7 linked regions of the Oryctolagus cuniculus genome follow. The protein of the gene in region 6 interacts with the protein of the main gene of each other region in a pairwise test. Links are inferred from orthologs where the notes say so. Each region holds a gene or a part of one and is shown on either strand. Other genes may lie near its edges.

Evidence for each region.
Region 1: the proteins of HOXA1 (region 6) and NELL2 interact in binary tests that used the Homo sapiens proteins (3 or more experiments, as listed by UniProt). The link is inferred for Oryctolagus cuniculus from reciprocal best matches to the Homo sapiens genes HOXA1 and NELL2.
Region 2: the proteins of HOXA1 (region 6) and RGS20 interact in binary tests that used the Homo sapiens proteins (3 or more experiments, as listed by UniProt). The two-hybrid records come from large-scale screens. The link is inferred for Oryctolagus cuniculus from reciprocal best matches to the Homo sapiens genes HOXA1 and RGS20.
Region 3: the proteins of HOXA1 (region 6) and CHIC2 interact in binary tests that used the Homo sapiens proteins (3 or more experiments, as listed by UniProt). The two-hybrid records come from large-scale screens. The link is inferred for Oryctolagus cuniculus from reciprocal best matches to the Homo sapiens genes HOXA1 and CHIC2.
Region 4: the proteins of HOXA1 (region 6) and TRIM42 interact in binary tests that used the Homo sapiens proteins (3 or more experiments, as listed by UniProt). The two-hybrid records come from large-scale screens. The link is inferred for Oryctolagus cuniculus from reciprocal best matches to the Homo sapiens genes HOXA1 and TRIM42.
Region 5: the proteins of HOXA1 (region 6) and RGS17 interact in binary tests that used the Homo sapiens proteins (3 or more experiments, as listed by UniProt). The two-hybrid records come from large-scale screens. The link is inferred for Oryctolagus cuniculus from reciprocal best matches to the Homo sapiens genes HOXA1 and RGS17.
Region 7: the proteins of HOXA1 (region 6) and EFEMP2 interact in a two-hybrid assay, tested with the Homo sapiens proteins (2 studies listed by BioGRID and IntAct). The link is inferred for Oryctolagus cuniculus from reciprocal best matches to the Homo sapiens genes HOXA1 and EFEMP2.

The regions. Positions count from the first base shown.
Region 1 is NC_091440.1:135,861,187-135,865,453, forward strand, and holds the start of NELL2 (protein kinase C-binding protein NELL2), read right to left. Parts: upstream 2,803-4,267; 5' UTR 2,461-2,802; coding exon 2,438-2,460; intron 2,275-2,437; exon of another isoform or gene 2,161-2,274; intron 2,155-2,160; exon of another isoform or gene 2,136-2,154; intron 2,120-2,135; exon of another isoform or gene 1,785-2,119; coding exon 1,699-1,784; intron 1,375-1,698; coding exon 1,243-1,374; intron 1-1,242. UniProt on the Homo sapiens protein: Plays multiple roles in neural tissues, regulates neuronal proliferation, survival, differentiation, polarization, as well as axon guidance and synaptic functions.
Region 2 is NC_091437.1:78,796,828-78,800,502, reverse strand, and holds part of RGS20 (regulator of G-protein signaling 20), read right to left. Parts: intron 194-3,675; coding exon 1-193. UniProt on the Homo sapiens protein: Inhibits signal transduction by increasing the GTPase activity of G protein alpha subunits thereby driving them into their inactive GDP-bound form.
Region 3 is NC_091439.1:110,032,874-110,037,134, reverse strand, and holds the start of CHIC2 (cysteine-rich hydrophobic domain-containing protein 2), read right to left. Parts: upstream 2,886-4,261; 5' UTR 2,795-2,885; coding exon of another isoform or gene 2,763-2,794; 5' UTR 2,569-2,762; coding exon 2,450-2,568; intron 1-2,449.
Region 4 is NC_091435.1:141,097,886-141,101,560, forward strand, and holds part of TRIM42 (tripartite motif-containing protein 42), read right to left. Parts: intron 3,047-3,675; coding exon 2,226-3,046; intron 1-2,225.
Region 5 is NC_091436.1:14,661,836-14,666,147, reverse strand, and holds the start of RGS17 (regulator of G-protein signaling 17), read right to left. Parts: upstream 2,864-4,312; 5' UTR 2,697-2,863; coding exon 2,689-2,696; intron 1-2,688. UniProt on the Homo sapiens protein: Regulates G protein-coupled receptor signaling cascades, including signaling via muscarinic acetylcholine receptor CHRM2 and dopamine receptor DRD2.
Region 6 is NC_091447.1:18,724,284-18,727,653, forward strand, and holds HOXA1 (homeobox protein Hox-A1), read right to left. Parts: upstream 2,024-3,370; coding exon 1,366-2,023; intron 879-1,365; coding exon 523-878; downstream 1-522. UniProt on the Homo sapiens protein: Sequence-specific transcription factor. Regulates multiple developmental processes including brainstem, inner and outer ear, abducens nerve and cardiovascular development and morphogenesis as well as cognition and behavior.
Region 7 is NC_091432.1:5,896,381-5,900,763, forward strand, and holds the start of EFEMP2 (EGF-containing fibulin-like extracellular matrix protein 2), read left to right. Parts: upstream 1-1,511; 5' UTR 1,512-1,683; intron 1,684-1,954; 5' UTR 1,955-1,955; coding exon 1,956-2,066; intron 2,067-2,282; coding exon 2,283-2,331; intron 2,332-2,821; coding exon 2,822-3,028; intron 3,029-3,476; coding exon 3,477-3,599; intron 3,600-3,898; coding exon 3,899-4,015; intron 4,016-4,131; coding exon 4,132-4,251; intron 4,252-4,383. UniProt on the Homo sapiens protein: Plays a crucial role in elastic fiber formation in tissue, and in the formation of ultrastructural connections between elastic laminae and smooth muscle cells in the aorta, therefore participates in terminal differentiation and maturation of smooth muscle cell (SMC) and in the mechanical properties and wall integrity maintenance of the aorta.

The sequences.
Region 1 (4,267 bases), on a different chromosome or scaffold from region 6:
TCTCACACTGGTAGTCCTGAATCATGTTGTTTCCAGTTCACAGAGGTTAAAAGTCAGAGATAAAAACAAATCAACACGCAACAGAAAACAAACGCTTAGCCGTAGGGACACTTCTGCTCATCTGATATCCTGCTGCAAGTCCAGGCTTATTTCCTGTATTAGGTGTGGTCACTTTTCTTCAAGCTCGACCCTCCCAAAGAAGACCCTGAACTAGATACTGGCATCGCAAATGCCACATGCAAACATTCATTAAGTAAGTTTTGGAAACACAAAATTGACATTGTAATCTCTTCCTCGGTAAGCGCCACACACAGCAGTTGCTGCTGCTGGGGTGACACACTCTGGCGGCGGCAGGCAACAGCAGCACTGGCGGCTGCCTCTCCTCCTGGCGGCAGGCCTGCCTCCAGGGGCCTTACTTCGCACACCCACTCTCCCTAACCAGGAGCCGGCTTCCTGGGAAGCCGCAAAAGCAAAGCCGCAGAAGCAACACCTGGGTGAGTGGGCCCCCACGCTGTACCCGCCGGGCGTGAGTCCCAACTCCGCTTCTCGTGGCCTTCCTCTGTGCTGCTGCCCTGGGAAGCTCCTCTTCCTACGGCCCTCTGGCTGCCTGGTGGAAGCTCAGATTCAGCAGTCCAGAACCCTTGGTAAACTGATGATGAGCGCCCGTGCGGCCCCAATTTGCCACTGACTGCATACACACCTAATGCGATTTGAAATTAGACAACAGCGCGCAGCTGATGGCCAAAACCAAGTTTTGGAGTCCTGACTCGAAACCAAGGGTGGGAGAAGCGAGACTCCTAAATTAACATCTCCTTGAAAGATTCTCAAAGTAACGCTGCGCGCATGCTGTTCCCTCTCCGGGAGACGGCGGAGGACCCGGAGGAGGAGGATGGCGCGCCCGGGAGCCCGGCCTCACCCAGGGCGCGCGGCCCGCCCGCGGGCGCCGCCGCACCTGAAACTTCCAGGGGTCGCTACCTTCCCCCGCAGCTTCGGCGCGGCTCTCGGCGACGATCCATTGTTCCCCAGGCTCTAAAGCCCACGTCTGCCAACGGAGTTCCCGCCCGGTCCTGAAGAGACTGTCCACTGGCCCCAGCACTAGGCGTACCGAGGTAGGAGCCGGGCGCGAGGGCCCAGCGACTCCCCCCTCACCAGAGCCAGGACTGCACCCCTCTGCCCCTGCCCACCAGCGCCAGCCGGAGGCCGGCCCCCTCCCCAGACCCCGCTCGCAGCGCCCGACCCTACCTTGAAAGAGGAAGGCTTTGGTCCCATTGTGCAGCCCCGGGACCTGGCGCACTCCGGCCGTGGACTCCCCCAGTTCCAACTCCGTCAGGACATCAATCTGCAGCGAGGGATCCACACCAAGCCCCCACACTGCTGGAGTGGGGAAGGGGAGGGAAGAAGGAAAAGGCTGCATCAAGAGAGGAGCCGCACGCCCGGATGCAGGACTCGGAGCGGCTGCTCGCCGCCCAGCGCCTACCTGCGAGCAGCAGCCACGCCGGGAGCAGCCGAGCCCGCGGCCCCATCTCGCAGACCCAGCGCACAGCCCGCTCCGCGCAAAGTTCCCGGGCCGCAGACCCGGGCTAGGGCGCGACCCGCGTCGCCATCTCCAGGGCAGGCACCGAAAACGCGGACCTGCCCCGCCCCTGCTCCAAGCCCCCACCCGGAACCGAACCGGTCGGCGGCGGGGCCGGCACGCACCTGCTCCAAGAGCGCAGAGCCAACAGAGGGTCCTCAGCAAGCCCCGAGACTCCATGGCGCGGCTCCGCTCAGTCCATCGCCTCCCTCTGGAACAGAAAAGAAACGCCGAAGAGGTTCCCGGAATCCAGCGGGAAAAGCGTCGCCCCCCTGCTGCTGCCTCGCATCCACTGTTTAGCGGGATTAACACGATTGGGCCGCCTAAGAAAGGAAAGGGAGGCCCCCGGCGCGCGGAGAACTTGGACCCTCCAATGCGCACAGCCGCTCCCACGCAGCGCCACCGCCAGCGCCAGCGCCGGCGCCGGTTGGGAGGGGGGTGGGGAGGGGTCTCGGGAGGTCGGGCTTGCGGGCGAATTCGCTCCCCAGCCGGGTGAAAGCTGCCCAAAGCTCGCTGGGCGGCGAGGGATGCGCCCCAGAGAGCCGGGCGAGGGCGGCCTCACCGCGCGTCTTCGCCGCCGCGCGAACCTGCAGTAGAGGCAGAGACAATGGAGAGAGCGCGGAGCCCTGGACCCGACTCCCGGGGAGAGGAGGCGGGAGGCCAGGGGTGGGGAGGACAGCTGGGGGCCCGGCTGTGCATCCTCCCCAGCGCGGGCTCCTGGATTCCGAGCCGGCCCAGCGAGCCCAAAACCGCGGCAGCCTCCGCCCTCCGCCCCCCGCCCCCGCCGACCGGGCCACGCCAGGTCCTTTCCGATCGTAGATCGACACCCTAGGTGCCAAGTTGCCGGCCGGTCCTTGCTCTCACCCTCCGCTCCGGCTGCGCGTCATAAGCCATGCAGACAGGCCCGGCCACCAGCCGCAGGGGCGCGGCTAGAATGCGCGGTGCCCCCCCTCCCCGCCCCGGCCAGGGCGGGGAGTCCACCGCTCTTGCGTTCTGCTCCGGGGCGGCCCGGGCGCGGCACCTTCTCCGGGGAGAGCGCAGAAGCCCGAGGCGGTGAGACCCAGTAAAGAGAGAGCGAGGCGGGGGCCAGTGGCACCACTGGGAAGCCCGGCGAGCCTTCGCGGAGAGGCCCCCTGCCCAGGGCGGGGCGCTGGAGAGCTTCCCTGGTGCTGAGAGCAGAACTTAGCCAGGAACCGCTGGACAGCTCCCAGGCCGCGGACGCCGGGATCCGGCCTAGCTCTCGCTGAGCGGGATGAGCAGGGCGCCTACCCACACGGAAAAGGGCGAATAGCAGACTAGACATAGCTAGGACACATGGGTAGAAGGGTGGATGCGTAGAAAGGCAGGTGATAAATGAGTAGGCAGGTAGGAAGGGAGATACACAGATAATGAGTGGAAGATGGATAGATGATTTACAGGTAATTGATAAATGGTTAATAGATACATAGGTACGTGAAAGAAGATAGATTAGATGCACACAGATGATAGATAAATGATTGTAGATAGATGAGGAGCAGACTAGATCGATAATTGATAAGGATATAAATGAATGATAAATGATTGTAGATAGATGAAAAACAAATGAATGATAGATAAATGGATGATAGTTAAATCCAAGAAGATAAGCTAGACAGAACAGATAGATGAACAGATAAATCATATCAAATTTTCCATTTAATTCTATCTTTAATTTTGTAAACTTTGAGGAATACTACAGTACTTACATAGGATAAAATACTGTATAAAATTTCTCTGGTTTGCAAAACAACACCATGTAAAATTCACATAATTTAATTCAAAAGAAATTATTCACCAGGGAATTAAAGCTGGCTCTGGAACACTATATCCAAAATATTAAACTGAAGTGAGCATCTACATAAATTACATAAAATGAAGTTTAAATAATGCTATCAGGAGAAAATAAGAGAACGTACACAGACACGCAGATGCATATACATGTGAGAATGACTGTGCGTGTATTTCAGCACAGCAGAGTTGCAGCAACAACACTAACTCTCTCGCTCACAGCATGCTGAGAGCTGAGGGTTAGTCGGCCTGCCTCCAGCACCCACACACACTTATGCTCCCTCCAGAAGGATAGTATTTTTGTACCCAAAATTATTCCAGCTGAACCTGCCCCTATAATTCCTCATCCTAATTAAGTATGGAACAATTACAACATGGGTCCAGGGCAGAGGGAGCAGAGTGTGAAGTTTGGAAACCACAATGAAGCAAGTCACTGGCAGAGGCTTTCAGCCTGAGCTCTGACAATCTGGGGTTGCACAGCTGGTTGGAGCTGTCTTCGCCTTCTAGAATGAACAACAGCATTCTGGGTCGTGACCTAATGCATTCCACTACTGCCAGCCTTGCACGTTATCTATGTGTCATTGGACTCTCTTTGTGCAGCTTTTTATTAATTTTTTTATTTGAAAGCAAAGTAAAAGGAAGAGGGAGAAACCTAAGGAGAAAGAGATATTCCACCCACTGGTTCACCTCCCAATTCATGGAAACAGCTGGGGGTAGGCTAGGCTGAAGGCAAGAGCCTGGAACTCCATCCATGTCTCCTATATGGGAAGCAAAGGCCCAAGAACGTGGTCCATCTTCTGCTGATTTCCCAGATGCACAAGCAAGGAGCCACGCTGGGAAAGAGAGCAGCCAGGGACTCGAATCGTTGTTCCAGTATGGGATGCCGGC
Region 2 (3,675 bases), on a different chromosome or scaffold from region 6:
CCTTGCTTTCTCTTCAATAATGTTTTTATTCGTTTCTTTTTTCAGTTCTTCACAGGCCAGCCAGAAAAGCATGTTTTCCTCACTGAATTCTGTGCGGAGGAACTCCCGGAAGGCGTTTCTGCCTGCTGGGGTGACCATCAAGTTGTCGAAGGACTGAGCCCAGGCATTGACTTCCTCCAGCGTAGGACTCGGGCTTGAAGGGGACCAAAAGAAAGGAGGCACAAGAGACCTATTATTGGTAGTGAACCTGAGCTGCATCACCAGAAATCTACCTTCCCCTCCCTCTCTGATAATGAAAAATATGTGAACTTGACCCTTTTGGAAGGGAAGGGAAAGAGCTATTCTCATTTCCTCAAACTTTTGGCCAAACCATACAAGTTCACATCTTCAAACTGTTTAGCTTGGCTGCATGGTGACTGCCCAAATGCTTACAAACCAGTTGTTAGAATAACTGCTAAGAACATATTTCTTACATCTGGACACATTCTGGCAATAATTTCAAATTACAATAGTAAAGAAAAAAACATCCCAACCATCAGACCCCAAACTCCCTAGTCACCTACAACAGAACTCAGACAGATTTAGCAATGCTCAACATGGAGAACAACAATGGAACAGTGTCTTTCTTTTTTTTTTTTTTTTTTTTCTTTTTTCTGACAGGCAGAGTGGACAGTGAGAGAGAGACAGAGAGAGAAAGGTCTTCCTTTTGCCATTGGTTCACCCTCTAATGGCCGCCGCACCGCGCTGTTCCGATGGCAGGAGCCAGGTGCTTATCCTGGTCTCCCATGGGGTGCAGGGCCCAAGCACCTGGGCCATCCTCCACTGCACTCCCTGGCCACAGAGAGAGTTGGCCTGGAAGAGGGGCAACCGGGACTAGAACCCAGTGTGCCGGTGCCGCAAGGCAGAGGATTAGCCTAGTGAGCCGCGGCGCCGGCTGGAACAGTGTCTTTTTAACACATTTTTAAAATTTATGTAATATTTGAGAAAGAGGAATGAATGTTTGTAATATAAATGCAAATAATGAAGGGTGACAAAGTGAACACTTGTGAATGTACCAATTTACCTTAAGAACCAAGACATCACTGACATAGCTGCTATTTCTCCATGCAACCTGTCGCCCCATGACCTGCCCCAACTCTATTACACTTGATCTGGGGGCTAAACCTTTTTGAGTTAATAATGATCCTTAATATCTCTTTCCTTTGTCCCCCCCCCCCCATAGTTTTCATATGTATGTGTCCTGAGGGATGTACTCCTTAGGTTTTTTTTTTTAACTATATAAAAATGGTGTATGTTGTCCTTTTTGCGACTTGGTTATTCTTTACCCAACATTATGTTTCTAAGTGTTGTTGGATTCACCTAGGTCATGGGTGAGTAGGATTCACCTCTAACTTTACATTCTTGAACTATCCTCATCAAGTTGTAGTTCCACTGTTAAACTGTCCTCTTAGATTTCTGAGTAGTTATATGGGAGCTGAATACCCATATTATCTACTCTTTTTTTTTTTTTTTTAAGATTTACTTATTTGAAAGACAGAGTTATGGAGAGAGGTAGAGACAGAGAGAGAGGTCTTCCTTCTGTTGATTCACTCCCAGACAGTCTCAATGGCCGGAGCTGCACCGATCCGAAGTCAGGAGCCAGGAGCTTCTTCAAGGTCTCCCATGTGGGTGCAGGGTCCCAAGGACTTGGGCCATCTTCCACTGTTGTCCCAGGCCATAGCAGAGAGCTGGATCTGAAGAGGAGCAGCTGGGACTCGAACTGGCACCCATATGGGATGCCAGCGCTTCAGGCCAGGGTGTTAACCCACTGTGCCACATCGCCAGCCCCATATTATCTACTCTTGAAGTGTTTTGTAGATGGGGCCAGCGCTGTGGTGTAATGGGCTAAAACCTCTGCCTATGGTGCTGGCATCCAATATGGGCACTGGTTCTATCCCAGCTGCTCCTTTTCTGGTTCAGCACTTTACTATGGCCTGGGAAAGCAGTAGAAGATGGCCTAAGTACGTGGGCCCATGCACCTGCATGGGAGACCTGGAAGAAGCTCCTGGCTTCTGATTGGCCCAGCTCTGGCTGTTGTGGCCATTTGGGGAGTGAAGCACTGGTAGAAGACCTTTCTGTCTGTCTTTAACTCTACCTCTCAAATAAATAAATACAATCTTTAAAAAAAAAGAAATTTTTTGTAAAATTTGCCTATAAAACCATCTGGGTCCAGTTTTGAATCTATAGAAAGATTTTGTTTTTAAAGATTTATTCATTTGTTTTGAAAGTCAGAGACACCAACCAGTGCCCATATGGGATGCCCGCACAGCAGGAGGCAGCTTTACCTGCTATGCCACAATGCCAGCCTCTGTAGAAAAATTCTGTGGGTTGAACTGTGTCTCTCCAAAACATATGTTGAAATTCTAACTCCTAGTACCTCAGGACATGACATTTGTAGATTTAACTACATTAAGATGAGGTCACTGGGGCTAGCACTGTGGCGTAGCGGGTAAAGCCGCTGCCTGCAGTGCCAGAATCCCATAGGGGCGCCAGTTTGAGTCCCAGATGTTCCACTTCCGATCCAATTCTCTGCTAGGCCCGGGAAAGCAGTAGAAGATAGCCCAAGTCCTTGGGCCCCTGCACGCACATGGGAGACTCAGAAGAAGCTCCTGGCTCCTGGCTTCGGATCAGTGCAGCTCTGGCCATTATGGCCAGCTGGGGAGTGAACTAGCAGATGGAAGACCTCTCTCTCTCTGCCTCTCCTTCTCTCTGACTTTCAAATAAATAAATAAATCTTGTTTTTTTGTTTGTTTTGTTTTGTTTTGTTTTGTTTTCTTCAGATGAGGTCATTAGGGTGAGACTTCATCCAGTATGACTGGTATTTTCATAAAAAAGGGAAACTTGAACACAGATACAGACACTTGTAGGGAAAATAAGCAGACACAAAGAGAGGATAGCCACGTGACTGGAGTGAAGTCTACAGGCCAGAGAATCCAAGAGCTGCTGGCAACTACCAGAAGCTAGAAGAGGCCTGGAGGGATTCTCCCCTAGAGTTGTCAAAGTATAGAGAAAGTGTGGCCCTACTGACCCGTTGCTTTTGGACTGCTGTTCTCAGAAACTGTGAAATAATAAACTGTTGTATGCTACCCAGGTTTTGGTATTTTGTTATGGAAGTCCAGGCAAACTGAAATCGAATGTTATTCATTGTTGATACAGCTTGATAGTCATACAACTAGTTTGACCTTTGATTTATTCTTGCATGAGTTTTATTATTTTCTCCCTGTTTAAGAATTCGCTCAAAGTGTAGTGTCTAAATCACCATGTTCATTGGCATAATCTGTTCCCAGTGTTATCATCCTACTAATTTCTGCTGGGTAGTTATTATATTTCCATTTTAATTCCTAATATTATTTCATTATATTTCTTTTTTTGGCCACTCATAGCAAAGGAGGCCCTACTATAAATTATTATAAATTTGTTTTAAAGAATCAGCTTTTGCCTTGGTCATTTCCATTGTATCTGTTTTTTATTTCATTAATTTCTGTGTTTATATATTTCTACCTCCTTCCTACTTTCTTTGTGCATATTCTTAATTTGGACATTTAGTTCAGAAATGACTGGTCCTCCTTTTTGTCTGTTAGAAACATTTAGGGTTATATATTTTTCTCTATTGACCCTTCCCTTTAAAAAAAAGAT
Region 3 (4,261 bases), on a different chromosome or scaffold from region 6:
TGCAGCCCCGCACACCTCCTAGTCCTGCTTCCGGACAGTGCCCATCCTGGGAGGCAGCCAGGGACGGCTGAGGGCCACGTGGGAGACCCCGGCTGAGCCCCCAGCTCCCGTTTCTGTCTGGCCCATCCTTGGTTATGGTGGGCGCCGGGGAGAGAAACAGCAGATGGAAGACGGACAGCCTGCTCTCTGGCTCTGCCTTTCAAACAATAAAAATGCCAGGAAGCGTTTTAAAAGGGGAGACCGCGACGTCCCCCTCTGATGGAAGAGGCAGAGGTAACTGGCTCAAGCAGCAGCAGAGGCAGGGCGGGTGTTTCCCACAGCAGTTAGGACCCCACTGGGACACGTGCCATCCCTCCAGTGCGCCTGCGTTCGAATGCCAGTTCTGCCCGTTCCAGCTCCCTGGTAACGCACACCCTGGGAGGTGGCAGGTGATGGCTCAGGTACCTGGGTCCCTGCCACCCATGAGCAAACCTCAGAGTGAGGCCCCAGCTCCTGGCTTCAGCTCAGCCCAGCCGGGCTCTGGCTATTGGTGGCATCTGGGGAGTGAACTAGCAGATGGGAGATCATTGTCTCTACCTTTCAAACAAAGACAAGAACAGATTCAAGTTTCTACAAAAACATTTATATACACTAATTAAAAAAAAAAAAGGTGGGGGGAGGTGGGCAGAGACCCCCCAGAGCCTGGAACCAAGGTGGCTGGGGTGGGGGGTGGCTGAGGAAAGCCCAGACACGCAGTCCAGGGCAGACAGGCGTGGTGTCGACCGGAGGCAGAGCGCCGGACATCCACAACGGCGCTTTCAATGCGGTCCCACCTGAGACCGGCGCGTGGCGTTCTGCTGGGACCCTAACACACCTGGTCTTCAACCGCGGCCAAGGCCTGAGTAGGTCTCCAAAGCTCCCCAGCTTCTTCTAAGGGCATCTGAGTTGGAAACCTTGAGTGACAGTTCTTCTCTACCTGTAACCTCACTAAGCAGCCAACTACAGTCAAGTTCACTGCTCGCCCACGGGGTGCTCAGCCTTCCTTCTCCTTAGACGGGAACAAACATTACAACCACACCTGCACCTTACTAAACAAAATCCTGCCGACTTTTTAAACGTTTGTTTATTTGAGAGGCAGAGAGGCAGAGAGAGAGAGAGAGAGAGAGACCTTCCATCCACTGGCTCACTCCCTGAATGGCCTCAATGGCGGGAGGAGGGCGAGGCGGAGCCCAGGGACCTGGAAGTCTATCCAGGTCTCCCAGGCGGGTGGGTCATCCTCTGCCGCTTTCCCAGGCTGGGAGCTGGGGGGGGGGGGGGGGGGAGGCAGCTGGGACTCCCCTGCACTCGGGCAGGAGACCCTGCTGTGCCACACACCTGCAGGAACGCGTGGGCAGCCTGGGAATCCCTGTCGCAGCACTCCTACACTCTTGGGTTCAGGACAGTGCGAAAGGCCCTAGGAGTCAAACTAGACCACAGGTTCCGAGCCTGACAGCCAGCGATGGCCGCTGCTGCTTCACCTCGGCGAGATCCGACGGCATCCCCACCTGGGCGGGTGACGACAGTGAAACCCGCGGGGACAGCGCCACCCGCGTCACCTGGACCTAACCCGCCAGGTGCTCCAGGATCCAGCGCCTTACTCAGCTGCCCGGCGCTCGGCAACGTGGCTGCGGGCTCAGGCGTGGAGAAGCGCGGGCTCCTAAGTCCTCCAGGGCACGGCCCACGCACCTTCCAGCCGGACACAGGGAGGCTGCTGCGGGCCGTCTCGCCCCGGTCAGGGGCAGCCGCTCCCTGACCTCCCCGACAGAGCGGGCCGCTCCAAGTTGCACCAAACTCCCGACTTCCTGCTTCCGGCTGGCGCAGGATTCGGTTCCAGGCTCCACATTCCCTTATCAGCCACGACCTTTCGGAAAGCCCTCTCGTTCCGGACTTCCAGCGTCGACGGCAGCGCTCACGGGACTCAGCAAACGCAGACCCCGGCGCGGGGTGCACGCCCCGGGGGCCAGGAACTCTCGGCTCGCCCGCACCGGGTGACCCCGCGCAGATGCCTGCAAAGTGCATCGCGAACACGCGCGATCCTGCTGCTCTTCGCTGGGTACTCCGACATCCGACACGACGCCGGCCGGGCGCGGGTGCGACACGCACACGCGCAGCGCGGACCCCGGGGTCTCCCAGGGCCCGCACCCGGCCTCCGGCCGTGTCACCGGGCGCGCAGGCTCCCAGGCACCCAGGCACCCGCACTTCCTCCCCGAGGCGCAGGCCCCCACCCACCCCCGCCCCGACCCCGAGAACAGCCTCGCCTGCGGGGACCCCGCACCTGGCCCAGGCCTCTCGGCGGGGCCTGCGGGCACGGAGGGCAGCGCCCGGCCCCGCTCCTCGCCCTCGGCCGGCCCACACCCGGCCAGCCCTCACTTCCTGGTCGCGCGCCCCTCCCCGGGCCCCGGGCCGGCCGCGCCGCCCCCTCGGGCCTTACACGGTGACGTGACCGGAGCCGCGGACCACCACCGGGTCCGGCGAGTACTTGAGCAGCTGCTCCTCCAGGGCCCGCTCCTCGTCCTCCTCCTCCTCGTAGATCTCGTCGAAATCCGCCATCCTGCGCTTCCGCGCCCCCCGCCCAGGGGGGCCTGACTCCGGGGCCGGCGCCCGCTGCGGGCGGCCCGGCGGTGGGGGCTGAGGGGAGTCGCCGCCGCCGCCGCCGCCGCCGGCCCAGAGGCCGCGGAGTTCGCGCCCGGCTGTGTCGGCGCCGGCTACACACGGGAAGGGGTCCGGGCCGCCGCCGCCATTACCGTCCGCAGCAACAACAACACAGTGTCAACATCCGCCCGGCCGCCGCCACCTCCACCGGCGCCGCCGCCGCAACTCAGGCAACCACAGCAACAGCCCGAGCCGCCCGCAGCGGGAGCAGCCGGCCGCGCATCGCGAGACTTCCCGGGAGCGCGGGCGTGGGCCGGCGCGCGCGCTCTCGGCCGCCGCCCTCCGCGCCGCGCCGTGGGCCGCGCGCTCCCGCCGGCGCGGCCCCGCCGGCGCGGCCCCGCCCTCGGCCCGTGGGGCGCGGGAGCGGCCGAGCGTGGGGCCGGCGCGGCGAAGCACTCGGGCCTCGCGCCCGCTCGTCGTCGACGGCGAGACCCGCGCTGGGCCCCTTCCGCGCGTGACGAGGGGAGCGGTTTTTTGTGATGCGTGGCGCGGACGAGCGCTTCCGTCCACTTCGCCACGGGTTTTGCCGGAACACAGCCCCGGCCCTTTGTCCTCCGGCGTGGTCCAGTCCGTGAGGCGGACGACTGCCGATGGGTTTCTCACAAGAAATCTCGGCGTCGTGGTGCCCGGAAACAAAACAGGATTCAAAAAGGCAGCCCCTGCGCCCCTCCCCAGCCAGAGCGGACCCCGGGGGAGCCCCGCTGCCAGAGGGTCCTGGCCGGAGGGCCCAGGGCGGGGCGCTGCGGCCGAGGGTGCCTGTGTCCCCTGTCCACTCCCAGCCAGCAGGGTGGGCTCCTGAGGAGGGGCCAGGCAGTGGGGGGAAGGGGTCGTGCTGGGTTCAGGGCTGGGTCCTGGCCGGAGAGCCGAGGGTCCCTGTGTCCCCTGTCCACTCCCGGCCGGCCCGGGGCAGGTGAGCTCCTGAGGAGGGGCCAGGCAGTGGGGGGAAGGGGTCGTGCTGGGTTCATTGCCGGGTCCTGGCCCACGTGCAGGGCCGTGCGGTCGGCCAGAAGCGCCCAGCCGGCTCCTTTGGGCAGTGATGGAGGGCACGGCCCGGCTGGCCCAAGACCCCGGGTGTGCCCAGTGCCGGGCTGTGTGAATGACAGCGCCCCTCCTGCCAGCAGCTCACGGTTAAGGCAAGCAGGCATCCTGGCCAGCCCAGTGCTGGCACCCAGGAGGTCCCTCGGGAATCTGGAGTGGGGGTTCCGGGGCCTGGCTTTGAGTCTCAGCCTGGGGGGCCCTGGCCGAGCCACTCAGGCGCTCTGTTCTCAGGGTGTGTGTCCACTGGGCTGCTGGCATACTCAGTTCCTGGCTTAGCACACAGGAAGCTCTCGGATGAGGACACGCAGTGGATACGGGGTGAGGGCACTGCTTTGTCAGGCCGCACCCAGCTCAGCGGCTCTGCCAGTCACTGTCTGCACTATGAGGCTGTCAGTGTTTATAGAGTGTGAGTGTGTGTGTGTGTGTGTGTGTGTAATATATATAGATAGATTCCGTCCCCCCCCCCCAAGAACCCTGTAAGGGAAGCGAGGAGGGTGGGCGTGCTCCTCGCTTTCTGGAATACCTGGGATACCTTTCATGGCCACCTGACACT
Region 4 (3,675 bases), on a different chromosome or scaffold from region 6:
TTAATGTGCTGTACATTGTGATTTAATGCTATAACTAGTACTCAAACAGTATTTTTCACTTTATGTTTCTGTGTGGGAGCAAACTGTTGAAATCTTTACTTAATATATGCTAAACTGATCTTCTGTATATAAAGAGAATTGAAACTGAATCTTGATGTGAATGGAAGGGGGGATGGAGAGGGAAAGGGGAGGGTTGCGGGTGGGAGGGAAGTTATGGAGGGGGGAGCCATTGCAATCCATAAGCTGTACTTTGGAAATTTATATTCATTAAATAAAAGTTAAAAAAAAAGAATATTTCTGATGCCAATGTTCTAAAGATTTGACAGAGATGTTAACAGAGATTTAATCTCCTGTGTGACACAACACTATGATGCCTGTGCAAAGTCCATTCTGTGGCCCTAAAATACGGATCAGTGATGGCTTCACAAGGACTGCCATTGTCTGGTGGCAGGTTTAGGTGATCTCTCTCTCCACTGCCACCCTTGCCTGGTTGTTCTATGGAAGCCCATTTCTGGAGCTTCCCTGGGGATGACCAATAGGTGGCGTGGGGTGACTGTTCCCCAAGCCCAGTTATGGAGCAGGGACCACCAGTACTTACACCGCAGGCTAAACTCCTGCCAATTTTGCAAGAGGTCTGAGTGAATGTGCAGGTGACACCCACTGCCTACCCAATGGCGCATACACTGTAGGTCTTGCTCATGCAGTAGCCCTTGGAGATGAGTTCGGCTGCTGAGTGATGGGCGTCCCTCCTGTGAAGGGTGGGGACTACCATGTCTCTAGGCCATGGGAGGCCATGTTACATAATGTTACATAATGTGGTCATTCTTAGTGTCAGTCATCCGAGAGGTCTTCAAAACCTCCATGGGAAATGGACATTATGAAAAAACTGCACAGATTTCAAATTTTTTTGCAGCAAAATAAACTTCAATCTTCTCATTTCTCTGTTTGAAGTCCCCTTGTACTTTTCCGTACTTCTGAGACATCATAATCTGCGTGTTGAAACTCACAATGGAATTTCAAAAACTTCATGGAAAATGGAATGAAAGATGTCTATTCTGTTGCAAAGTATTTTGAAATCCATGCATCGCTTTTTCATAATACATGTTTTATTTATTGATGCCTGGTCTGTGGCAGACCTTCACTTTCCTCCATTTAGATAACCCAATATTGCAGTATGGGCTGCAGATGGCAGCAGTGGCAACACCTGGACGCTTGTGAGAAACACAGTGGTATGTGTCAGGCCCCCCTGCAACCAGTGAAGCAGAGTCTGTGCTTTAACAACATCCCCGGGCACACGGGAGTGTTGAGAAGCCTTGGTTCAGATGTCAAGGAAGCCCAGAGTCTTTGAGAGTATCTCAGAGAATTGGGCAAGAGATGGGCTCAGCCACACAGGCTGGCCTGGGAGGTGCCTGTGATGAAGCTCAGGAGGAGGCAAGATACACCTCTGTCCAGTACTGAGTCACATATTCATCTCTTGCTTCCATGGGGCTTAATAAAGTATCCTACAAGCATATTTGAAAGGCACGTGACGCTTGTCCATGTTGGGTTGAGGGTGTCATTCCCATGAGGCCCACTGGTGGCAGTTGTAGAGATCTGTGAGACACCCCACTCTCTAGCCCCACCCCCGCTCTGCAAACAAGGATAGATCTCAGGAGATAAGAACTGGCATTCCGTTGGTGATTATTCTTCCAATAAGATTATTAGATTTTTCAATATTGGAATATCCAGTATTCTTCTAATAAGAATAATCAATAACAACAATGATAGTTTCTTTAGGAAAGGCAGCCAATTTGAAATACCCAAGTTCATGGGCAAAGGGGCCTGCATTCCTGATTCCCATTTCTGTGCCCTGTAACAGACCATCCCTCAGGTAATACCACCTTCTGCCAGCCGTCGCCTTAAACTACTCTGGTTCCCAACAGGAGTTCTCTGTCAGTAGAGAAACTGCCTGGGAGTGGGGGTCAGGCTCTCAGTTTTATTTCCGGCCATGCTTTAAATATACCTTGACTCTTTGGTTTAAGCCAACCTTGGGTTATTTAAGATTTCAGAACTCAATCCTTTTGAACAGGCTGACCCCCAAAGACACGAGAGAAGCAGGTCTGAGTAGCCAGAACCCAGAGGTCAAACAACCTCCCCTGCTTACCCACCTCCACTCTGGACCCCACAACCTCCCACCTTCCCCACAGGGCCCAGAGCCTTTTTTTTTTTTTTTTTTTTTTTTTTACCTTAGCGGCTCTTGGATACACCAGAGTCTGGTAGATAACAATTGGGCCTGGGGTTTTCACAGAGGTGTCGTTGAACGAGTACCAGTTGTGGAAGCTGTTGCAGTTCTGTGCAGGCTGGCTGTCGGCTGTGGCACTCCAGTAGGTGTACAGCCCATCGGGGGGCTTGGCAGGCGCGGCCGACTGGGTCCTCCCGTAGGCCTCCAGACCCCCCTTGGCCTTCTCACCAGCGGCGCTGAAGGACAGCAAGGAGGAGCTCCGCTGGTATATCTGTTGGTTGCCGAAGCTGTGGGTGCTGAACGTGACCTTCCTGGCGATCATCATCTCCGAGTGCATGGGGTAGGGGGTGGGCAGTGAGTCTCCGGAGGAACACACCTTCTTGGGTCCCGTGGGGAAGAGCTCGTGAATGGCGCTGGAGAGCTCGGCGAAGTCCAAGGGCATGCAGTGCATGGAGTGCAGCCGCAGGTGTGGGTCGGGCCGGTAGGTGCTCTGGATGCCGTCCTCGATCTGGTCCACCAGGATCTTGGCCGACTGTAAGAAGGCCACTTGGCCCGTCTCCTTCAGGGCTTCCTTGGAGTAGGCTATCAGGCCATCCATCTCGTTCACCTTCAGGGTGGTGACGTGGACGTACTTCTCGATCTCCTTCTGCCTGGACACTTCTAGATTCTCGATCTGCTCCATGATGCTCTTCTCTTTCTCCTGCAGAATGCTGCGCAGCTTCAGAAACCCGCTTCTGATCTCTTTCCGCTTTGCCTCCTTATCCGCTTTAAAACTGTTTTTCAGAATGTTGAACTCCATGAGGTCATTATCGATTTCATATCGGACTGCAAAACAACCAAGTTGCTTACTGTTAGAAGCTTCCTCTCCCCAGATGCCAAAGCCACAGCAAACCCTTAAACGGCACTGGCCTCCGAGGGAGTGAGTGGACGGAGGGCAGGCACCCCCAGCTGGGCTGAACGTGGCCTCCCTCAGAACGCCCCTCCCTCTCACCTCCCCCAGGTGTCAGGAGCCGTCCTCCCTGACCTAGCCCCAGCTGGTGAAGGCAATCCCTCTGGTTCCTGCCACACTTGCCCTGTCTGCAGGCTGGACTTGAGAAGAGGCAAAGTCATCTAGGCCAGGGCCCTGTTTTTCCTGCAGGAAGGTGGGCTTTTGCAGTGGTGGAAGACAGAAGTACATTACTGATGACCCCTTCTACATGCTGCCTTGCCTCATTCACCCAGAATCCAGCCTCAGACAGCAGTGGGAAATCGGCAAAGTGTTCCCTCATGGGGGCCCTCTTGCACACCCGTGGTCCTGCATAGCAGCCTTTGTCTCTCTCGTGGTCAGCGCTGTTCCCTCTCCTGTCTTTTCGCCTCTCCCTTTCAAGAAAGCGTCTGCAGTCACACTCCACGGGGAACCAATCCATCCTGCACCCTGTCCCATGGCACTTCAATTTTAAGTTCACACAGTTAGT
Region 5 (4,312 bases), on a different chromosome or scaffold from region 6:
CACCTGTGTTCAGCAGTACGCATCCTTTTCTCCTGAATATTTGCCAATGATTATGCAGGCAGGCCAGCAGTTCCCCACTCTCACCCCATGAATACAGACAGGAATCACACACAAATACGTGCATACAGTTCCACACAGATCATCTTTTCAAAATATTAAACTCTGCAGTGTATAAAGGACTTCTCTATCTTTGGGGTTTAAAAGTAATACATGCATAACTTTCAACTAAATCCATAATTAATATAAATACAGGTGAGTCATTAGACCCGGAGATTACTTAAAAGTAATTTCATCAAAAAGATTTCAACAGTGAAAACTGACGTTATTGTACATTAGCAGATGAAGAAAACATGGCTCTAATGGCTTGAATCAAGATTACAGACATTATTTATTCATAAACTAGCACAGATATGACAAGCAAGGCAGTTAATCCATGACTACCAGAAGAGAATAAAACAGCAGAGATTTTTTTTTCCTGACAGATTGAACATGAGTTCATGATATATTATAAATTATGGAGAAATGTACATATTCTAAGATAAATATAATGACAAACACCAATTTTTGTATGAGAACTATCTATACTCCTTTCTTCTCACATATCTATTTACAAATTCTATTGATACTGTTGATAAAATAAAAAGGGAGATCAAATATCAAGCTTCATTCTAACACTAGTTAGGAAAAATGTTAACACTGCAATTCATGTGGAGTATTGACTACTACACTTCACAATATAGCATTCAGTCAGTCACACCAGTTTGTAGATTATGTAAATCACTGTATTATTTTTTAAATAGTGTTGCATAGCATAGTACCCTCAAAAGAGACACTCATTTTTCTTTGTTTTTATCTGGTAAGTCTTGGTCATACTAAACATACAGGTCACAAATGCCATACGGTAGAGCTGAGAGGAAATAAATTGAAAAAGAAACAGGTTCAAACCTCAAAGTGGCTCACATGGTTATTCATTAACAGCCCAGTCAAAGGTGTAATGACAAGCATGTTAAATTTAGTGGCTTACATGTGGGTTTAGCACACCTTCAAGATAATTCATTCCTGATGTCAACGTCTTTCATCACCATAGACAGGCAACATAAATGTACATTCATAACATATTGTTAGGGAGGATTTGATGACTTTACTCAGATTCTATGAATGATACTAAATCTTCCTGGATTAGAGTAAACCTAGTTGCTGGGTTTAGAATTCACCCTAGTGATTTCAACAAGCTGATGTTGAAGATGAGTTCATCTTTCCAAAATCAAGTTTTTTATATATATATGTGTGTGTGTATATATATATATATATATATCAGATATATGTATATATCTGAAAAGAGTATCCAGGCCTTTTGGCCAGTGTAGTGTATTATCACAAGATTACTATGAAAGATAGTAGCACAGAAGCAAAACATGAACCCTAAGGAAGGGCATGGCTGTGACTTCTTCTGTCTCCATTGCACATGCCCTACCACCACCATTTTCATCTGCCTTGACTCATATTATGATCACCACCCACGGAAGCCTTTAAGTGAGAGGAAAAGCACAGTACAGTTGCACGCAGACATTCCCTTTACATTAATGACAGTGAAGTGTGGTTCTCCCAATTTGTAACTTCCCAAAAGTCCTAAGCCTCCAGTCTTTAGCTGTTTTGATGTTCTAATGGAGGTTGTTAAGTCTCTCACCAGCAGATCCACTGCCTGTTGCCTTCTTTCTCTGAGCCTCTGCTTTGCAGCCTGCTTGCACTTGAGAGGTAGAGGCTCCTAAATTTTGAGGTTAATTCCCCTAAATTGCTAAACCCTAGAGAAATGTTGTATTTAATTATGACTTCTAAGGTTAGCATAACTAGATAAAAGCAAAGTAATAATATGTTGAAGAAGCTTATATGTGAACTCCTTATAGAAAGGGTTCATGTTTAATTGACCATTGCATTCAAAAGTCATACCATAGAGCCTAACACAGAGCAGGTACTCAAAAACATTCATTCACGAATGTTCATTTAACTGGTTTCTTCGTCTACTCAGGAAAGGATAACACAGAACACATGGACAGCAACTTCAACATTAATAAGGACCCATTCATTAAGACAAACACCAGCAATTAACTAAAATCTCAAGTATTTATTCTCTAAACAATGTTTATTATATTTATTTTATTTAGCTCAACATAGTGTCAAAAACATGCATAGTTACTGTCAATATATGAAGGATTTTTATAAACAACTTCATTTCATTCTTAAACACTTTTGGGTTTTAAAGGTAATGAGACCAATGGTCAAAGAATTGAAGAAAACCTTTGGTTATTTTAATCCAAAACTTGATCTCTGTCTACCAAATTACATTCTTTGCTTTAAAAGTCTCTTTCTTTGAAGGGCAATTATCCACACGCTTTTTCACATTGTCTAATTAATCCTGTGGACTGCAGCTTCTCACATAGCAGACTGGCAAATATTTGTTGATTTTGGTTAACTGAATCCTGAAAACATAAAACCATCGAGAGAAAAAAGGAGACATGGAGTGGTCTTCTTAGAGACAAAACTGATTCTTAAAATCTCCAAAGTAGATCACTGCCCAAAATAAGCCCCAAACGTTCAAGATTGAAAATAAAGTATTGTCAGCTTTCAGAAAAGAATTTTTCCTAATGTAACTCCCAATGAGAAGCACTGCAGAACAAAGTCAACACTTACCTGCTCATTTCATGTATGTCATGATTCCCCTTGGGTTGTGTCTGTTTTACTGCAATGCTACAGCTCTTAAATTCTAACCAGTATATTCAATAACCAATCAGCAGTACTATGAAAAGGCCATGTGACCCAATATAAGGAAGTAAATATTTGCTTTGTGAACCCATACTCATTGTCTATAATAAAATTACATCTATTGACACAAAGATTTAAAAGAAAACTTCACCTACAAGGTGTAAGACAGAGAGATTTCAGATGTTCATTGCTCATGTTAGAATTCCTATTATGAAATATTTAGTTTTCTTGAGAAATCCTATATATCTAGTAAATAGCAGAGTAACTTTTCAAATCCCGTTGTCTTTGAAATGAGATATTATTTTCCACCACAGCTTACTGATCTTCCTATAGGGACTTCCCACTCACTGTAAGTTCTGCATTCATTGAATCTGAATACCTGAAATAGTACCATATTTAAGAAACTGGAACCTCCAATGATTATAAAATTTTACACTCGCTAGGTAGTTTCATACCTAAGGGACTTCATAGGTTTTCCAAGTTAATTAAGCTTGGAAACCAAATTTGTCAAATGTTATAGAGTTTAAAAAGTCAAAATCAGGAGCTTAAAAGACCACTGAATCATGTGAAGCATTGCAAACACAAAATTCTTATATTTTAAATATTTGATGTCACATATGCATTAAAATTTGAGGTAGGATATAATATTAATTTCACAGTTTCATAATTAATAGATGCAACTGTGATGAGATATCTCAATTAATGTCTCAAAAAGTTCTCCCTGTACTCCCATCTTTTCTCTCAACGCCCTTCATCTTAGGAAACTTGGACTCCTGTAACAATGGCAACAAACGGAAACAACCCATGGAAACCTGGGTAATCTTCACATACAAACTTGACCCTTCTAAAGGAATTGTACAAGTTGGAAAGTGTAGGCATAGTAGCAATACATTATGAATACCACGGCAGTCCTGATCCCTTGGCAGATGCATTTCCAGCCCTTCTGATTTAGACAAAGTGATCTCTGTTTTCTTTCACACTAAGCATTTCCTTTCCTTGTTTACTTTAAAAATTAACACACAAATAAGAAAAATATATGAGAACACCAATAGACACCTAGACAAGAGTTCTGAATAAGCCATCTTCAAAGACAGGAAAACAATTGCTTATAGGCATGTCTAAAGGCAACCTGAGGGACGCAGCACTGTGGCATAGTGGGTAAGGCCGCTGCCTGCAGTGCCTGCATCTTATATGGGTGCCAGTTCAAGACCCAGCTTCTCAACTTCCAATCCAGCTCTCTGCTATGGCCTGGGAAAGCAGGGGAGGATGGCTGAAGTTCTTGAGCCCCTGCATCTGCCTGGGACGACCCAGAGGAAGCTCCTGGCTTCAGATTGGCACACGTCTGGCCAATGCAGCCACTGAGGAGTGAACCAACCAATGGAAAACCTCTCTCTCTCTCTGCCTCTCCTTCCCTCTCTAGGTAACTCAGGTAACTCTGACTTTCAAATAAATAAATCTTAAAAAAAAAAAAAAAGCCATCTGGGACAGGTGCTGGTATAGCTGTTAAAACACCAGGGGGGATGACTGGGTCCCACCATCACAGTACCTGGGT
Region 6 (3,370 bases):
TATAAAGATAAATCTCTCAGGACAAAGTATTTACAACCAGCAAACTCACACACAGGAAACTGAATTAAATTAAGGAATGAATGAACTGTGTAAACACACTCCTAGTGCACCTCTTCTTCATAGACTCCTGAACTCTCTCTATATATCCTACTTTTAAGGGCAAGGTAGGGAAGAACTGTGAATACGCAGTTAGATAAAAAGAAGCGAGGCCTCTCTCTGGCATGTTTCTGCTGGCAAAAGGGAATTATTTTCCAAAGGGCAACTGAAAGGAGCAAGGTCTGTGAAGACCTCCTCCAAGTAGGGAGAGATGTCAGCAGCCCACACGAACTGATGTGGGCACCCAATCTGGATGTCTCCCGTCCAGAATTCCCTGGAAACCCATTGTCCTGGCCAGGAGCTCTCCAGATAGGATCAGAAAGGAAGAGAGGGACTGTAAATGGAAAGCGAGATAAGCTAAGAATGTGCTTTAGGGGAAAAGCCCTGGTCCAAGAAGGAGGCTGGGCTGCGGGGGCCGGGGCGGCCTCAGTGAGAGGTAGGCAGAGTGTCGGAGGTAGAAGACCCCGGGGAAGGAACGCAGGGCGAGGAACTGGACTTCTCGGAGGATTCCTCTGCCTTCTCTTCGCTTCCCGGGGGAGTGGCTGGAGAGATGGGCAGGAGCCCCTCCTTCTCACGTTTCTTCTGCTTCATCCGGCGGTTCTGGAACCAGATCTTCACCTGGGTCTCATTGAGCTGCAGGGACGCGGCGATCTCCACCCTGCGCGCGCGCGTCAGGTACTTGTTGAAGTGGAACTCCTTCTCCAGCTCCGTGAGCTGCTTGGTGGTGAAGTTGGTGCGCACCGAGTTGGGCTGACCCACGTAGCCGTACTCGCCAACTTTCCCTGGGGTAGCGTAAGGAGCCAAGAGAAGAAAAGGTTAAAAAATGTTAAAAATCGATGAGACCCCCTCCCCCCCCCCACACTCTTCAGAGCAACCTTCAGGTAAAGGATAAAATCAAGAACTTCTCAAGCGGGTTGGGGAGGGTGAGCAATGGGGCATTAAGCTGAAGTCAAGCATTAGCGTGGTCAGGCTGGTGATTAATGGAGCCTGGAGATATTAACAGGACGCCTCCAACACCAACACCCAGCCACACACACACACACACACACACACTCTCTTCCTATTTTCAGAACATTTAGACCCTAGCCCCTTTGTAAACACAGAGACTGCTGAGCCCCGACACACCTGGGCAGCGTCCCCATGCCCTACAACACTAGTTGGAAGCAAGAACCCCTTTTTCGAAAAATCATTCTTAATTTTCCTTGGGAACCAAGCACACCAACTCCTTCCAGATTCATCAAGGCGCGTCCACTGGCCGGCAGAACTGACCTGTTTTGGGAGGGTTTCTTTTGACTTTCATCCAGTCAAAGGTCTGTGCTGGAGAAGACGTTTCCAAAGCGGGGGAGCGACAGGCTTCTTGGTGGCTGGCGTGGAGAGGGGACAGGGGATTATTATACGTGGCCAGGGCCAGGCTCTGGTGCTCTTGTCCGTATGAGTGGTGAATGTACTGAGGCGAGCCCACCGTGCCCCCGGCATAACCCTGGTGGTGGTGGTGATGCTGAACCATGGGAGATGAGAGGTTTCCAGAGTAAACAGCGGGAGCGCACGGGGGGTACCCACCACTTACGTCTGCTTCCTGATTTAACCCGTAGGGACTGTAAGGCGCACCGAAGTTCTGCGCACCGTAGCTTGGACCACAACTCGAGTGGGAGTAAGACACCCCCAGGTTCCCAGAAGTCTGGTAAGTGGCCGGCTGAGGATGGTGGTGGTGATGGTGGTGGTGGTGGTGGTGGTGGGGCGAGCTGATCTGCACCCCCCTACCCACTAGGAACCGGTCGTCGCCGCCGCAGCTGTTGGCACTGACTGCGCACGACTGGAAAGTTGTAATCCCATGGTCCGAGGAGTAGGTTCGCGCAGAGCAGGTCCCCGAGTCGCCACTGCTAAGGATGGGGTATTCCAGGAAAGAGCTCATCCTTGCATTGTCCATCTGTCACTGAGTGACCGGGTCCTGCGAAGCCCTGGGTGACCGTGCCAACTTTCTCACTTCCTCCATGAGGCCGAAGAAGAAAAATGATATGAATGTACAGTGCGCAAGAGGGGGGGCGCGAGGGCGGAGGGCGCCAGGGGAGGCGCACGTGACTGGGCCAGCCAATGGCTGAGCCTCCTGCGAAAGTTTGCCGGCTCCGGCGGTGATGGATCACCGTTTCAGTGGCATTTAAGTCCCCGGCGCTCCTCCGTCTAGGTGACGCGCAGTCGCCCCCCCAGGCAGCTCAGGAGGCGGCAGAAGCTGCGGCGGCTGCAACTGCAGCTTCACAGCCCTGGGGCGAAGGGGAGCGGAGGCTGCCTTCTGCGCGCGCCCGAGTCCGCGCGCCCTCCCCCTCCGGGAGGTGGGGGCTGGGAGGCACCCCCGCCCCCCGCCCCCTCCCAGCATCGTCGGGAAGAGGAACTGGCAAGAGGTGAGAAGGGAAGAGGGCTCCCGGCTCTCCTGGGGCGGGAATCAGTGGGCTGGAGCTCGCTGGGTGGCCGCAAGTGCGGCAGAGCCCCCGAGCGTACAGAGCCGGAAGGGTGGGAATCCGGCGACCAAACGCCCCCGGCGCCCGGGGCGCCTCCGCCGCACTGTCCCTGCGTGAGGCCGTAGGGCTGTGAGGCGCTCAGAAGACGGTGACGCAGGGCGAGGCTGGCCGCTGGCTTTGCCAGCTCCGGACGGCGAAGGAAGGGCGCGGAGGGCTGGCTGGGAGGAACCAGGTGGGCGTGGAGCGCACGAGGGCGAGAAAAGAAACTTCCCTTTTCCACAGAGGGAGTCCGCAGCCCTCTCCCCCCAACCCCGGTTCGCCATTAGCATGGCAATGAGGAGCTCCTGTAATTCGACTCCCGGGGGCGGTTGAGCTCGCCGGAAAAGGCCGGGGGTGTCGGGGCTCTCGGTCGCCCTCCCTCTCCCCTCGCTCTCCGCCCCTTTCTCCTCCCCGCTTAGTCTGGCCCAGGGAACCCTCCGGGATCCCCAGACGCTGGGCCGCAGGATTTTGAGGGGTGGGAGGCGGGGGAGAGATGACGCTGGCAGACGTGGCGGGCGCGGGGGCCGGGCCGTGCGCGGCAGGCCATCTGCCGGCGCCTCAACCCAGGAGCCTGCGCGCTTCGGCGCGGGCCTCCAACGCCCGGCCGCAGCTTGCACAAAGTCCGCTCCACGGCCCCCGCCACGTTCCTCTTTTCCCGGAGGGCGCTGTGGGGAAGTGGGGGAGACTCTTCTTCCCACCCCCACCCCCATTCTGCTGCACGTCTGGAATGGGGGCTGGCAGGTGGGAGGGGCGGGGGACAGATGGCTGACGGTGGACGGGGA
Region 7 (4,383 bases), on a different chromosome or scaffold from region 6:
TGTTCTGGTCACTTCCTACAAGTGGACAGTGTGGCCCTCCTGTCTGGTCCCTCTCGCTGAGTGCAAGGTGTCCAAGGCTCAGCCCCCTGGCAGCCTGTGTCGGGCTGGGTTCCTGCTCACGCCTGGACAACCCTCCACGTGGGGGTGTGCTACCCACTGGTTGACTGACCCTGGTGGGGTTGCTGCTACATTCCAGCGCTCTGAAGCCCGCAGCGCGGTGCTGCTATGAGCAGACTTTCGGTGAGTAGCTGTCGCCCGTCCAGTCTCTGGGGAGGGGCGGGTGTGTACCTTTCGCCCGTCCGGTCTCCCGGGGCGGGTGTGTACCTGTCGCCCGTCTAGTCTCCCGGGCGCATACCTGGGAGCGAACCTGCCTGGTAACATCTGGGGACACAGCCGGATGATGTTAGCAGCTGCAGCCTAGGAGGGCTGCGAGTTCTCCGCACCCTCGCCAACACTCGTGAACGCTTGGTTTTCAAGAATTCGGACTTCGGGCTTTCTTGCCCCAGCCCCTGGGCAGGTGGTAGGAATGCATCAGCCTGAGCCCCACCGGGTCAGTTGGGGGCGATCGGGGGGTCAAGCAGGGATGGGGAAGGGACGGGAAGACCCGACTGTTCCCTCTCGCAGCCTGCGGGGTGCCGGGAGCCCTGCACACGCGGCCCTTTCCCGTCTGGCCCAGCCCTGAGACGTGGGCAGCGCGAAGCCCCGCCCCTTCCTGGGAGTCGAACCCTCCCGGGCTCCGCCCCGGCCACGCCCTCCGCTGGGGGAGGGGTCGGAAGCCGAGTGGGGGGCGCGGGCGAGAGGAGGGTCGCGAAGGCGTTGGCACCGGAGCCTGGCGTCCCTGGCCCCCGAGTGCACCCTGTCCCTGCTTCGCGGGGGCCTGCCATTCATTTGGGGCCAAAAGGGACCTGCGCCCCCGCCCCCGACCTCGGCTTGGAGGGCTGAGCGCGGGGGCGGGGGAGGCCGTGCAGGAGCGCAGGGACCACCTGGCGGGAGATGGCGGGGCGGGGGGGGGGGTAGAAGGGAGAGATGGGCAGCTCTGCTCCCGGGACCCGGGAGCGTCTCGTGCCGGGGCGAGGGTCGGGGGCCCGGGGTGAAGTTTTGGGGACGTCTGGAGTGACGGTCTGGGGGCACAGAATACAATTCTGGGGGGGTCGAGTGAGGGGATGGAGGCCCCAGGGCTGGGTGGGGCCTCGGATCCTACCTTCGGGGAGGCTCAGAATGAGGGTCTGGGGGTGCGGGACTGAGCAGTGGGTGCGCAGAAAGGAATTCTGCGCGCGTAGGTAGCAGCCAGGTGCGCGGGATGACGTTTCTGATGAGGGCCTGCCCCCCCCCCCGAGTGAGTCTGGGGGCTTGGCATCCAGGTCCATGGCACCACGATCGAGCGCTGGGGGACCCTGGCCCGGCGCCGGGAGGCGGCTCCGGGAGGCGCCGCGGGGGACCGGGCGGGGGCCTGCGGCCGCCGGCCGGGGGCGGAGAAGCGGGGGGTCGGGGTCCCTCCCCCTGGCGCGGGCTCAGGAATCCGCCGAAGGGCGGGCGGAGGCGCCGGGGTGGGCCGCACCGCGGCGGGCGGGCGGGCGGGGGGCGCTTCCTGGGGCCGCGCGTCCAGGGAGCTGCGCCGTCCGCCCGTCCGTCCGCCCGCAGGCACTGTTGGAGCCGCCGGAGCCGCGGGGGCGTCGCGGCCGAGTGAGTGGCGGCCCGTGGGAGGGGGGCGCGGGCCGGAGTCTCGGCAGAGTCGGCGGCCGCCGGGCCGAGAGGCCCGCACCGCCAGGGAACCGGGCGGGGGCGGAGTGGGCCCGGAACCCGGGCCTACGAAACGAGTGGGCCCCGGGTCCTGCGGGGCTGCAGGGCCCCAGGCTCGGACCTGAGCCGGAGCTGGCGGGGCCGGGGCCCGGTGCGGGGGGATGGGGCGGCCGTGGCAGAGGCCCCTGACCCGCCCGCCCCCTCCCGGCCGCAGGATGCTCCCCTTCGCCTCCTGCCTCCCTGGGTCTCTGCTGCTCTGGGCGCTGCTGCTGCTGCTCTTGGGGGCAGCGTCACCGCAGGACTCCGAGGAACCGGACAGCTACACGGTGGGGACAGCGGGGGCGGGTGGCCTACCACTGGGAGACCAGGGTCCCCGGAGGCTGTTCTTGGGGGAGATTCGCCCCCCCAGCCCGGCCGGTAGAGCAGCTGGGGGCCGTTGTTTGGAACAGACTGGGAGGGTGGCCCAGGCTCAGGCCCTGCTATTGGCCTGGCCAGTTGGAGGGGACCCTGGGTGACCACTGCAGCCTCCGGTTTCCTTCCAGGAATGCACCGATGGCTATGAGTGGGACCCAGACAGCCAGCACTGCCGGGGTGAGTGTGACAGGGGGACCAGCCCCCCAGGAGCAGGGACCAGAGCCCAGGGGGCCTGTGCTCTACCCAGCCCAGCAGGGCAGGGCGGCCCCTCCCTCTCCAAGAACCCCGGTAACCCTGTCCCCCCCCCCCGGGGTAGATGGGAGAGCCACTGGGGGAGCCCCGGAGCAGCTGGTCCCATGGAAGGCTTTGCCCCATCGCAACCTGGGAGGGCGGTGTCCACGGGGGGGGGGGGGGCTGCAGATCACTGCCCGGCTGAGCCAGGGCCAGGACCCCCTTGGAGGCAGCGTGGGGGCAGCAGTGGCAACCCCTTCCCCACTTCCAGCCTGTGGCGGGGCCGTGTGGAGGGGAGGGGTCCTGGGTACACCAGGCTGCCTCAGCTTGTGGAGCTCAGGGAGGGCCAAGCGGGCTCCTGCCTCGCCCCCCCCGCCCCGCCCGGGGCCGGCCCCCCTCCCGGGACCGGCTGTGCCGAGCAGGCCGCCTCCCGCAGATGTGAATGAGTGCCTGACCATCCCCGAGGCCTGCAAGGGCGAGATGAAGTGCATCAATCACTACGGGGGCTACCTGTGTCTGCCGCGCTCCGCTTCCGTCATCAACGACCTGCACGGCGAGGGCCCCCCGCCGCCTGTGCCCCCCGCTCAGCACCCCAACTCCTGCCCGCCAGGCTATGAGCCCGACGAACAGGAGAGCTGCGTGGGTGAGTCCCTCTGGGCCCGGGCGTCCCATGCTGTCGCCACGCTTCTCGCAACTTGGGCTCGCGTTCTTGCGTTGCTCCAAGCCCTTACTGATGGCTCCTGGGGGCCACCAGGGGCTGCCCGGCCCCTCATCCAGGCCCTCGCTGTGTCCGGGGCCAGTCCCAGGGGACCCTCCCCTCACGTGCTGCAGAGACCCTGCAGGAGCCTTGATCTGGACTGCACCCCTGGAAGCCGCGGGCCCTGGCGGGGGGTGTCCTGGGATCAGGGTCGCTGGGGGCTGAGGGTGTGGACAGAGCCTTGTCTCCTGCTGCCTCCCAGGCTGGTGGGCGGGTGGGAGGGGTCTCCTGTGCCCTCGTGGTGGCTTCTGGACTGCGTCCTCCCACGCTGGGTGCCTGCCTCGCCGGATGGCGTGAGCGACCCCAGGCGGAGGCTCAGGGGTGTCTGCTGCAGATGTGGACGAGTGTGCGCAGGCCTTGCACGACTGTCGGCCCAGCCAGGACTGCCACAACCTGCCTGGCTCGTACGAGTGCACCTGCCCGGATGGCTACCGCAAGATCGGGCCGGAGTGTGTGGGTGAGTGCGGCCAGCAGCCTGTCTGTTCCTGAGCCCCCAACTCCAGCCCACCCCCGGGCGTCACCCCAGCCCCCGGCCCCCTCTGCCTTCCTGCCATCAGACACAGAGGACTGCATGGACACCGTGTGTGTGCGCATGCGCATGTGTGTGTGTGTGTGTGCCTGTGCGTGCGTGCGTCCTCTGGCTGGCTGGCCCCGTCCAGCTGCCCAGAGACATCCGGGTCTGTGGGCAGTGAGGCCTCGAGTGGGGGCCCCACTGACTGGCGCCTTCCGCGGCCTCCCTCCCCGCCGCCGTCGCAGACGTTGACGAGTGCCGCTACCGCTACTGCCAGCACCGCTGTGTGAACCTGCCCGGCTCTTTCCGCTGCCAGTGCGAACCGGGCTTCCAGCTGGGGCCCAACAACCGCTCCTGTGTGGGTGAGGCTGGGCCAGGCCGGGCTCCTGGGGCCCCCGGGGCTGGGAGGTATGAGCTGGGGGAGCGCCCTTGGCGGCCAGCCCAGACTGCCCCTCTGCTTTTGTCCCGGCACCCCCAGATGTGAACGAGTGCGACATGGGCGCCCCGTGTGAGCAGCGCTGCTTCAACTCCTACGGGACCTTCCTGTGTCGCTGCCACCAGGGCTACGAGCTGCACCGCGACGGCTTCTCCTGCAGCGGTGAGCTCAGCCCTGCGCGGGCTCCCCCAGCGGCGGCCAGGGTGCCCCCACGTCCCGTCCACTGTGGACGGACGCGCGCCCCTGCAGGGTGCTGCACCCCGGGCTGGCCACAGGGCACTCCCAGCCTGGGAC